Linked DNA regions of Callithrix jacchus. The protein of the gene in region 1 interacts with the protein of each later gene in a biochemical or structural test. Links are inferred from orthologs where the notes say so. Each region holds a gene or a part of one and is shown on either strand. Other genes may lie near its edges.

Evidence for each region.
Region 2: the proteins of MATK (region 1) and tyrosine-protein phosphatase non-receptor type substrate 1 form a complex in vitro, tested with the Homo sapiens proteins (3 studies listed by BioGRID, with this or other methods). The link is inferred for Callithrix jacchus from reciprocal best matches to the Homo sapiens genes MATK and SIRPA.
Region 3: the proteins of MATK (region 1) and LRRK1 form a complex in vitro, tested with the Homo sapiens proteins (2 studies listed by BioGRID and IntAct, with this or other methods). The link is inferred for Callithrix jacchus from reciprocal best matches to the Homo sapiens genes MATK and LRRK1.

Annotation. Positions count from the first base shown.
Region 1 is NC_133523.1:3,553,206-3,556,087, reverse strand, and holds part of MATK (megakaryocyte-associated tyrosine-protein kinase), read left to right. Parts: intron 1-338; coding exon 339-432; intron 433-1,889; coding exon 1,890-1,955; intron 1,956-2,882.
Region 2 is NC_133506.1:9,495,683-9,499,205, reverse strand, and holds part of tyrosine-protein phosphatase non-receptor type substrate 1, read right to left. Parts: intron 2,710-3,523; coding exon 2,353-2,709; intron 1-2,352. UniProt on the Homo sapiens protein: Immunoglobulin-like cell surface receptor for CD47. Acts as docking protein and induces translocation of PTPN6, PTPN11 and other binding partners from the cytosol to the plasma membrane.
Region 3 is NC_133507.1:8,917,042-8,919,264, reverse strand, and holds the end of LRRK1 (leucine-rich repeat serine/threonine-protein kinase 1), read left to right. Parts: exon of another isoform or gene 1-190; intron 191-499; coding exon 500-962; 3' UTR 963-1,714; downstream 1,715-2,223.

The DNA of each region.
Region 1 (2,882 bases):
CACCATCCCTACCTCCTGTGCTGACCACCTGGGATCCCCTGAGCTCTGTGCTTCTCCAATATGGAGATGAAGGGGGTATTCCCTGGGCCCCCCAGACCTGAGTCTGCCCCCAGGGACTGGGATGACATCTTTGGGGACCCCCAGGACCCCCCAAATTGACAGCAATCCAGAGGACCTCCGCTCCTTTTGGCCTGCCCCTTCTCCCATTCCAATGGAAACCAGCCTCTCTTCTCCTCCCTGGTCCCGCCCACCCCACCCAGAGCCCAGCAGAGAAAGGGACGAGATGCCGGGGTTCCCTGTCCTGGGGCGGGGCTCACCACCACCCCCGTATCCTGCAGCATTACACCAAGGACAAGGGCGCTATCTGCACCAAGCTGGTGAGGCCAAAGCGGAAGCACGGGACCAAGTCGGCAGAGGAGGAGCTGGCCAGGGGTAGGGGACGCTCGAGAGGGCCCACCTCCTCCCCTGCCCACATTAGCGCAGCCCAGGAGGAAGGACCCTGGGGCCCTGGGCCTCTAAGGCCAGATCACCCAAGCCTGTCCCCATGCACAGCTATGGGATAGAAGACCTGGGCTGCCTTGGGGTCCACAGACGCCGATCAGTCCTTTACTCACTGGGCCCCACCTTCTGCTGCTCATCTCTGTCACCATCATCCGCCATATCATCTGAGCCAGAAACCTGGCCCCGAAGCCCCACCCACCCACCTCCCCGCCCCAGCATTCCCTCTTTGGCCTGGTTCCTAACACCTGGTGCATCTGCTCCCCTCCCCTCCCCACAGCCCAGCCTCAGTCCCTCTCATCACAGGACCTCCTTCCCAGGGGGCAAGTGCCCCTTCCAGGCCAGGCCCTGAGTGCAGCCCCAAGGTTATCTTTCTATCATGAGATCCTGCCTCTGGGGAGAGAGGCCCGCAGCTCTACTACGTTCCAGAACCTGCCCCCATGGCCCGAGCCACCCTTCCAGCCTCATCTGCAAAGCCCTTCCTCCACGCATCCACCCCGCCCAAGTCAACTGTGATCATCGTTTCCTTCATGCCTCTGAGCCATTGTTGATTCCATTCACTTCGCCTGAAGTGCTTTTCCAGCCCCTGAGTAGTGAAATCCTCAATATTTAAGCTCAAAAGCAAATGCCTCTTCCCACCCCATGTCTGTCTCTTTGAAGTACATCTCTCCTGGGGAAGTCTGTACCCATCGGGGATGGCACCCAGGTGGAGACTAGCATCACCCTGACCAATGATCCCTTAGGAGTTCCGCATTTGGAGGGGGCGCTTTCTGGAGGGAGGGGGAAGCCTGCAGAACCAACCAGAGGACAGTGGAGGGGCCAACACAGGAGTGCTTGGGAGAAGGGTCAGGGAGGCCAGACCCCTGGAATATTCTGGAACCTTTATGGGTTTTAATTTTATTTATTCTTTTGCCCTGTGTGTGTTTCGGTGGTCAGAGGTAAAGGACTATGTAGGGAAGAGCCCAGAGGGCATTTGGAGGGACAAGAGGTCTCCAGGTAGCCAAAGAGAAAAGGGCAGCTCTTATCTCTGAGACGTGAAACGTTTCCTGGCACTGCCCCCTGGGCCTGACAGGGAGTTCCTGGAGGGCAAGTGTGGAGTCTGAGGGTCTTCAGCCAGGCCCCCAGCTTTGACCATTCACCCCACTGTCCCTCCTACAAGCTCCTTTTTGCTCAGGTCAGCCTGAGATATCTGTTGCTTCCAACAACAATAATTGGTACCAGGAGTGGGGTGTCTCTGACATGTCCCAGGGGCATTGCCAGGCCCAGCAGCCAGTCACATGTGTCTCCACAGCTGCAGCACTGTGAGACATCACCTAGTCTCACCAAGTAGAACCCCCAGTGGGAGGGTTTGGGGGGCCTAGTACCGCCCTGACTGGGTCTTCACTCCACAGCGGGCTGGTTGCTGAACCTGCAGCATTTGACGTTGGGAGCACAGATCGGAGAGGGAGAGTTTGGAGGTGAGTGGACAGACTGGGCTGGGGGTGCTGAAGAAAGGTGGAGGGTGCATATTGAGGCTTTGGGGTCACAGAGCCGAATTCAGACCATACTTAACCACCTACTAGCTGTGCACCTGAGGACACACAAATCGCCTGAGCCTCAGTTTCCCTCTCTGCAACAGGGGGTCATGGCAGCTGTCATGAGGAGTACAGTAACTCAAGCAGGTGCCCAGTCGACGTTAGCGAGTTCTCCACACTCCCTCTGCTTGGAACACCGTTCCCTGAAATTAATATTCTGGAAGGCTCTGGGGTGTCCGTCAGGGGTCAGCAGACTCTGTCTGTAAAAGCCCAGATTGTAAATACGTTCTCCTCTGTGGGTCAGGTAGTTCGTGTCACAACGGCTCAAGCCTGCCCTTGTCTTGTGGAGTGAAGGCAGCCACAGACAATATGTAAACGTGTGGGCGTGGCCGTGAAAACGATGGCCCAGAAATTTGAATTTCATATAATGCTCACATATCCCAAAACGTATCTTCTGATTTGTTTTTCCAATCCTTTAAAGATGCAAAAACCAGCCAGGTGCGGTGGCTCATGCCTGGAATCCCAGCACTCTGGGAGGTCAGGGAAGGAGGATCCCTTGAGCTCCAGAGTTCAGGTCCAGCCTGGGCAACGTAGCAAGACCCCCATCTCTACAAAAAAAAAAAAAAAAAAATTAGCCAGGCATGGTGGAGCATGCCTGCAGTCCCAGCTACTCAGGAGGTTGGGATGGGAGGATCCCTTGAGCTCAGGAATTTGAAGCTGCAGTGAGCTGTGTTCATGCCACTGCGCGCCACACGGGTGAGAGACTGAGACTCTGTCCTAAGCAATCAATATTTTAAAAATAAAAATGCAAAAAACATTTTGAGCTCCAGAGCCTTGCAAAAAGAGGTGACACAGTAGATCTGGCCCCCG
Region 2 (3,523 bases), on another chromosome or scaffold:
AAGCCCGAGGGGAGAATAGAAACTCTTACTCCTATGGGCCCAAAGCACCCACCCAGGAAACGCCTCATCTCCGCATCCTTAGTCCTCAGCACCATGAGTAGGTGGGCATGTGGTCTGCTGGGCTGCAGGAGGCCCGACTCTGCTCCATGGATGCTGCTCAGTGATGTGCTGAGACCTGTCCTTTAGGAACAGGTTCCTGTATCATGAGACACCTGCAGGACCTTTCTGATGGGGGCTGGCCCCTCCTACTTCCATAGGATTTTTTGCTTTGTTTTCCCTTTTTTTTGAAACTGAGTCTTGCTTTGTTACCCAAGCTGGGGTGCAGTGGCACGATCTCGGCTCACTGCAATCTCCGCCTTCTGGGTTCGAGCAATTCTCCTGCCTCAGCCTATGCTCATTGCTATAGAACTGCAAGAGTGGAATGAGAAGGGTGGAACATTTCTCCACTTTGATAAGCACAGCTGGGTGTTACAGATACAGGGGCTGTGGTTCAAGGCTCCACAACCTGCTCACCACTTAGGTCTCCTCTCTGGGCCTCAGAGTCCTTATCTGTAAAAGGGGCAAACACATGGCTCTTCCTTCTAGTACTTGTTATAAAGGGAGAAAGTGCCAGACTCAGGATCTGGCCCAGCTGCTGCTCCCTGGCCCCCTCCTGCCTCCCTCCTTTCTCATCCAGGACATCATTTAGGCTGACAGCATGGCAAAGAGGAGTGAGCACTGTACTAGGAGTCAGCAGAACTGGGTCACACCTGAGCCATTTACTTGCTGCGATTGTCTAGGCATGGGATGCCTCATCTGGAAACCTCAATGTCTTTTCCTGTAATATCTGCACGATCAGAATAAAGCCACCCTCCCTGCCTATGTCCAGCGGTTGTGGGGGGACTTGTTATTATGTCTAGGATGGAAATAAGGCCATATCCACACAAATGAAAACACACACACCCTCTGATCTAGCAATGGCACCTCCAGTGGGCATCTCCCACCTGAGGAGGGTGACACATGCTAAAGGTCATCCACTGCAGGACTGTTTTAATAGCTCAAAGTTGGGGACAACTTATATAGCCATCAATAGAAGACTATAAAATAAGTCTCATATTTCTATAAGCTGGAGTATTCGGTAACTATTACACAACAGAACAGGTCTCTATGTCCTGATATGAAATCTCCATTTCAAATAACATGGTTTACATTTGGGTGAGGTTTTCCAGTTACCAATGGGGTCTGAATGTGAGTATTCTGAACCTTTGGGAAACTGATGAAAAGGAGAAGTGCTGGCTCCCTGCTTACTGGCTCTGTTCAAGGAGCTTTCATTGAGCACCTGTGATGCTCCAGGCTTTTCTATGGAAACAATGCTTAACACTTGGGCAGGAAGGAGCCTCCCTGGAATCAGATGTGGGCTCTGGTCCAGATCCTGTCACTAACTGGCCCTGTGACTACGGGCAAGGCCCCTGTCATCTCCTGACTTCAAGTGGCCACCTGTAACTGGGGGTTGGGCTGGATGGTCTGAGGGTCCTTCCTGTACTAATGTCCCAGGACCAGGAGCTAGAACAAGAATCCTGGGGCCCTGTCAACAAACACAAATGAGCATCTTTGCTGCCTTAACTGAGGAACCCGAAGTCACCCAGAAGGAATACCTCTTTCCTGGAATGGGGGACATTCTTTGATGACCCCGCTTTGTTCAGAGCTTTTGGTGATTGCATAAATCAGTCCCTAAATTGCACGAGGTTTTTTCTAAAAGACCCACAGAAAATGCCGGGACCTCTGGCTTCCCCTCTCACCAGGGCCATCAGACTAAACAGTAAATCTGTGCCTTTTAGGAATCTTCTCAGTCGATGTTTGGTGATGGAATAAAGAAAAGCACACCCTCCCTCCTCGCTGCCCTGGGTGGATTTCTTATTGGAAAAGATGAGAACACAAGCTTGGTGGAGCCTGGCACATAGTAGGTTTTAGTGGGTGCCTGTCACTTAGAGGAGACTTGACCACCCCGAGAGGGAAGCACTCTCTGGAGGCGGCAGGTGAGGTCTGGCCCTGTGCCTGGACAAGTCACTCTATCTGTTGGTTCCCTCATCTGTGGAACCAAAGGGCTGGGGCAGATGAGAAGTGGCAAGGGCTGCAGACCCAGGCAGCTGAAGGAAGGATGCTGACTTTCCCAGTCTTTGCCAGCTGTGGAGCCTTGAGCAAATAGCAGGGCATCTCCAGGCCTCAACTTCCGTTATATGTAAAAGTGGGAGACATCAATTCATGAAAAGGAGCACCCACCACCACACCTAGTCATGGCTCAAAGAACGGAGGGTGTTATTATTGGCTTATTGTCACAAACCAGGGGATGAAGGAGGCCCACGCTGTACTCACCCCGCACAGACAGCTCAGTGCCTGGTCCAGACTTCAACTCCACGTCAATAGGGCTCGCTTTCCGGAACTTCACACAGTAGTAGGTGCCGGCATCTGCTGGGGTGATGTTACTGATGCGGATGGAATGGTCCATGTTGTTTCTCTTTGTCTGGTCTGCGACAGCTGTTACCCGGGGGAATTGGCCTTCTTTTTGATTATAGATTAATTCCCGGCCTGGTCCGGCTCCTCTGAACCACTGGATGGGCCCCACGGGGACCAGGGAGGTCACAGTGCAGTGCAGAGTGGCCGTCTCTCCAGCTGCGACCGACACGGACTTCTCAGGCTGCACCACCTGCAGCTCCTCCTCACCTGCCACTCCTGAAAGGAGCACAAAGCAGTGATTTTTTTCAGGCTTACATGATTCTCTGCTTCCTCAAGTGTTTATCAATGACTTTCATTAACTGGGTGCACACCAGGAGCAGGCCTTAAACTCAGCACACTGTGTATATTATCTCACTTAATCCTCACAAGAAACCTGCAACATGAACCTGTATTCTAAGTGGGGACACTGAGGCACAGAAAGCTAAGTGACATGACAGAGAGTGGCTTCGAATGCCTGGACCCTCTCTGGAAGAGTCACATCTCAGCTAGACTCTATAATTCCAATCTGAATTAACCAGAAGAGGGCCTGGTGTTTAGACAGAGGGAACAGCCTGGGCAAGGACTCAGAGGTAGGAGCCTGGCATGTGTGGTGCTCTACAAGGCGTTAGGTTCTGTTTCTGGCCTGGCCCAGGATGCAGGCCCCGAGAAGGGAGGCTGTCCTCAGCGGTCTTGGGCAGTAGGAGAACGTGGTTGGAGTTCTGGATCACTGGTCTACAGATGTGTCCTTGGGCCACCGCTCAGGTGACCAATAAGATCCAGTGTAGACTCATGCCAGTGTGTGTGAGTCTCGGCCTGGAGCCCGGGGCTGAGCCCGGCTTGCACAGTGCCACACAAATGCAAGAGCTGCCCTCAGTTTGCCCTTCCTGCTCTCAGCCTTGGTTTCTTTATCTGTAAAATAGTTACTATGACCCCACCTCAATGGATCTCTGGGAGGACAAAACAAGCCAAGGCTGGGGACAGTGTCAGAATTCAGCATGCGGTCTTCAGTCATCGGTCCTGGTTTGGAACCTGGCTCACCCCTTGTTTGTAT
Region 3 (2,223 bases), on another chromosome or scaffold:
TAGGCACCAAACTCGCCCTCTCCTACTCCAGGAAAAGCCCAGCCCCGGGCCTCACAGAGCCAGGGGAAGGGATCTCTTCACACCACACTTAGAAATCGTATGGGCCTCCAGTCCCAGCTACCCAGGAGCCAAGGCAGGAGGATCCACGGAGCTCGGGAGCTGGAGGTTGCAGTGAGCTATGATCACACCAGCTTTCTAGCCTGGGTGACACAGCAAGACCCAACTCTTAAAAAAAATCATACAGGAAATGACTAATGAACTCGACTCCATGAAACTGAAACTTACATGGAAAAATTAGTCCAAAGCTTGAAAGTATCGATTGAGGAAGAAAAAAATATTTGCAACACAAATGAGAGACCAAGAGCTCACTTACCTTTATTAGAGAGAACATAAACTCAATAAGAAATAGAAAACCCAAAAGGCAAACAGGTTAAGGGCATGGGCAGCAATTGAATTACAAAGAAACAGACCCTTAAACATCAATGCTTGACCTCACCAGACAGCAAGGAAACAGACCTGAAGACTTGAAGACAGCAGTAAAATGTCACTTACCACCCTCGGATTGGCAGAGATTAACCGGCCAGCAACTCCTTCTTGAATACCTACTAAGTGTCAGGCACTGTCACTGGACACACAGACAAGAATCTTTGTGGGGTTTTTTTGCATGTTTGTTTTTGTTTTTGAGACACAGTCTTGCTCTGTCACCCAGGCTGGATTGCAATGACACCATGGTCTCAGCTCACGGCAACCTCTGCCTCCCAGGTTCGAGCGATTCTCCTGTCTGCCTCAGCTTCCCGAGTAACTGGGACTACAGGCACGTGCCACCACACCTGGCTAATTTTTACCATGTTAGCCAGGCTGGTCTCGAACTCTTGACTTCAGATGATCCTCCCGTCTCGGCCTCCCAAAGTGTTGGGATTACAAGTGTGAGCCACTGTGCCTGGCCGAATCTCTACTTCTAGGAGCTCACAGGAGGAGTTGACAATAAGCACCCAAGCACAATAGTAGAGCAGCCAGCTGGACCACCCAGTGGGGGACCTGGGGGCTTGGCCTCGGGCTGCTACATTTAACTGAGGCTGGGAGGCTTGCACCCTGCACCAGGAGGTACAATATGAGACTGAAAACTGAGGGCACTAGGTGCAAGGACCTTGCACGTGCAAAGGCCCTGTTGTAGGATCAAGCCACTGTGTGGGAGGGACAGGAAAGCCTGGCGTGGCTGAAGCCTTGAAGGAGGGGAGGAAGCATGGCCCTGTTCGCACAGAATTGCAAGTGTGGGTCCCCACTGAAGCTCCTGGCAGTTTTAAGCAGGATTATTACATGTAATCATCTTTACAAATCACTTTGCTGAATGGAGGATGGATTAACAAGGGGGTAGTTGGAAGTTGGGGCTACCCCTTGGAGGGCATTTTGGCCTTATCTACCCAAGTTTCAAATGCACATACCCTCTGACCCAGCAGGTCCACTTAAGTATTCGTTCCTAACTATTTATAAAGGGGCCCAGGGATACAGAACAAGGATGTTGATTCTAAGAACAAGCATCTCTTAGAATATGGCCCCAAACAGGAAGCAACCCGAACCTCTATCAGGAGGGAAGTCATAAAATTCCTGCATGTACAACAATACGGTACTCTGCAGCCTGTCAGAGGCAGGCAGTGCTAACTGCGCTGGTCTGGAATGTTCTCCAAGATATAATAAATGCATTTTTTTGAAAGCAGCTTGCAGTGCAGTGTGTATTGAGTTACCATGTGTGTAAAAGACACTGTAGAGTTCCACGTGTATGCACAGGGAAAATATTCCACAGGACACCCACAGACGTGGCAGACACTGGTCTCCTCTTGCAGGGAGAGCTGAGGGCTAGCATAGAGGAGGGAACCGTTTATTCTGATCGCACACCTTCCTCTCTGCACCCTGAGTTGTGTGCGTGCCTCATGATGGAGGGAGGTAGGCTGGGAAGGGCCTCTGTCCTGAGTCCTACAGGTGCCTCTTGGCCTTGGTCTCCAGAGGTAATGGGGTGTACCCCTCTGTCTGCATTCCTATGTGGGTGTCTGACTCCATGGAGGACAGGTCCTGGGGAAGGGCTGGGTCCCCTAACAATCCTGTCCATCTGACTCCATGCTCCTGGCTGAACCAGAACCTCCCTGGCTGTCTTTGGCATAAAGGCACAGAGTCCCAGCCGAGGTGGGTGGACCACGAGGTCAGGAGTTCCAGACCAGCCTGGCCAAC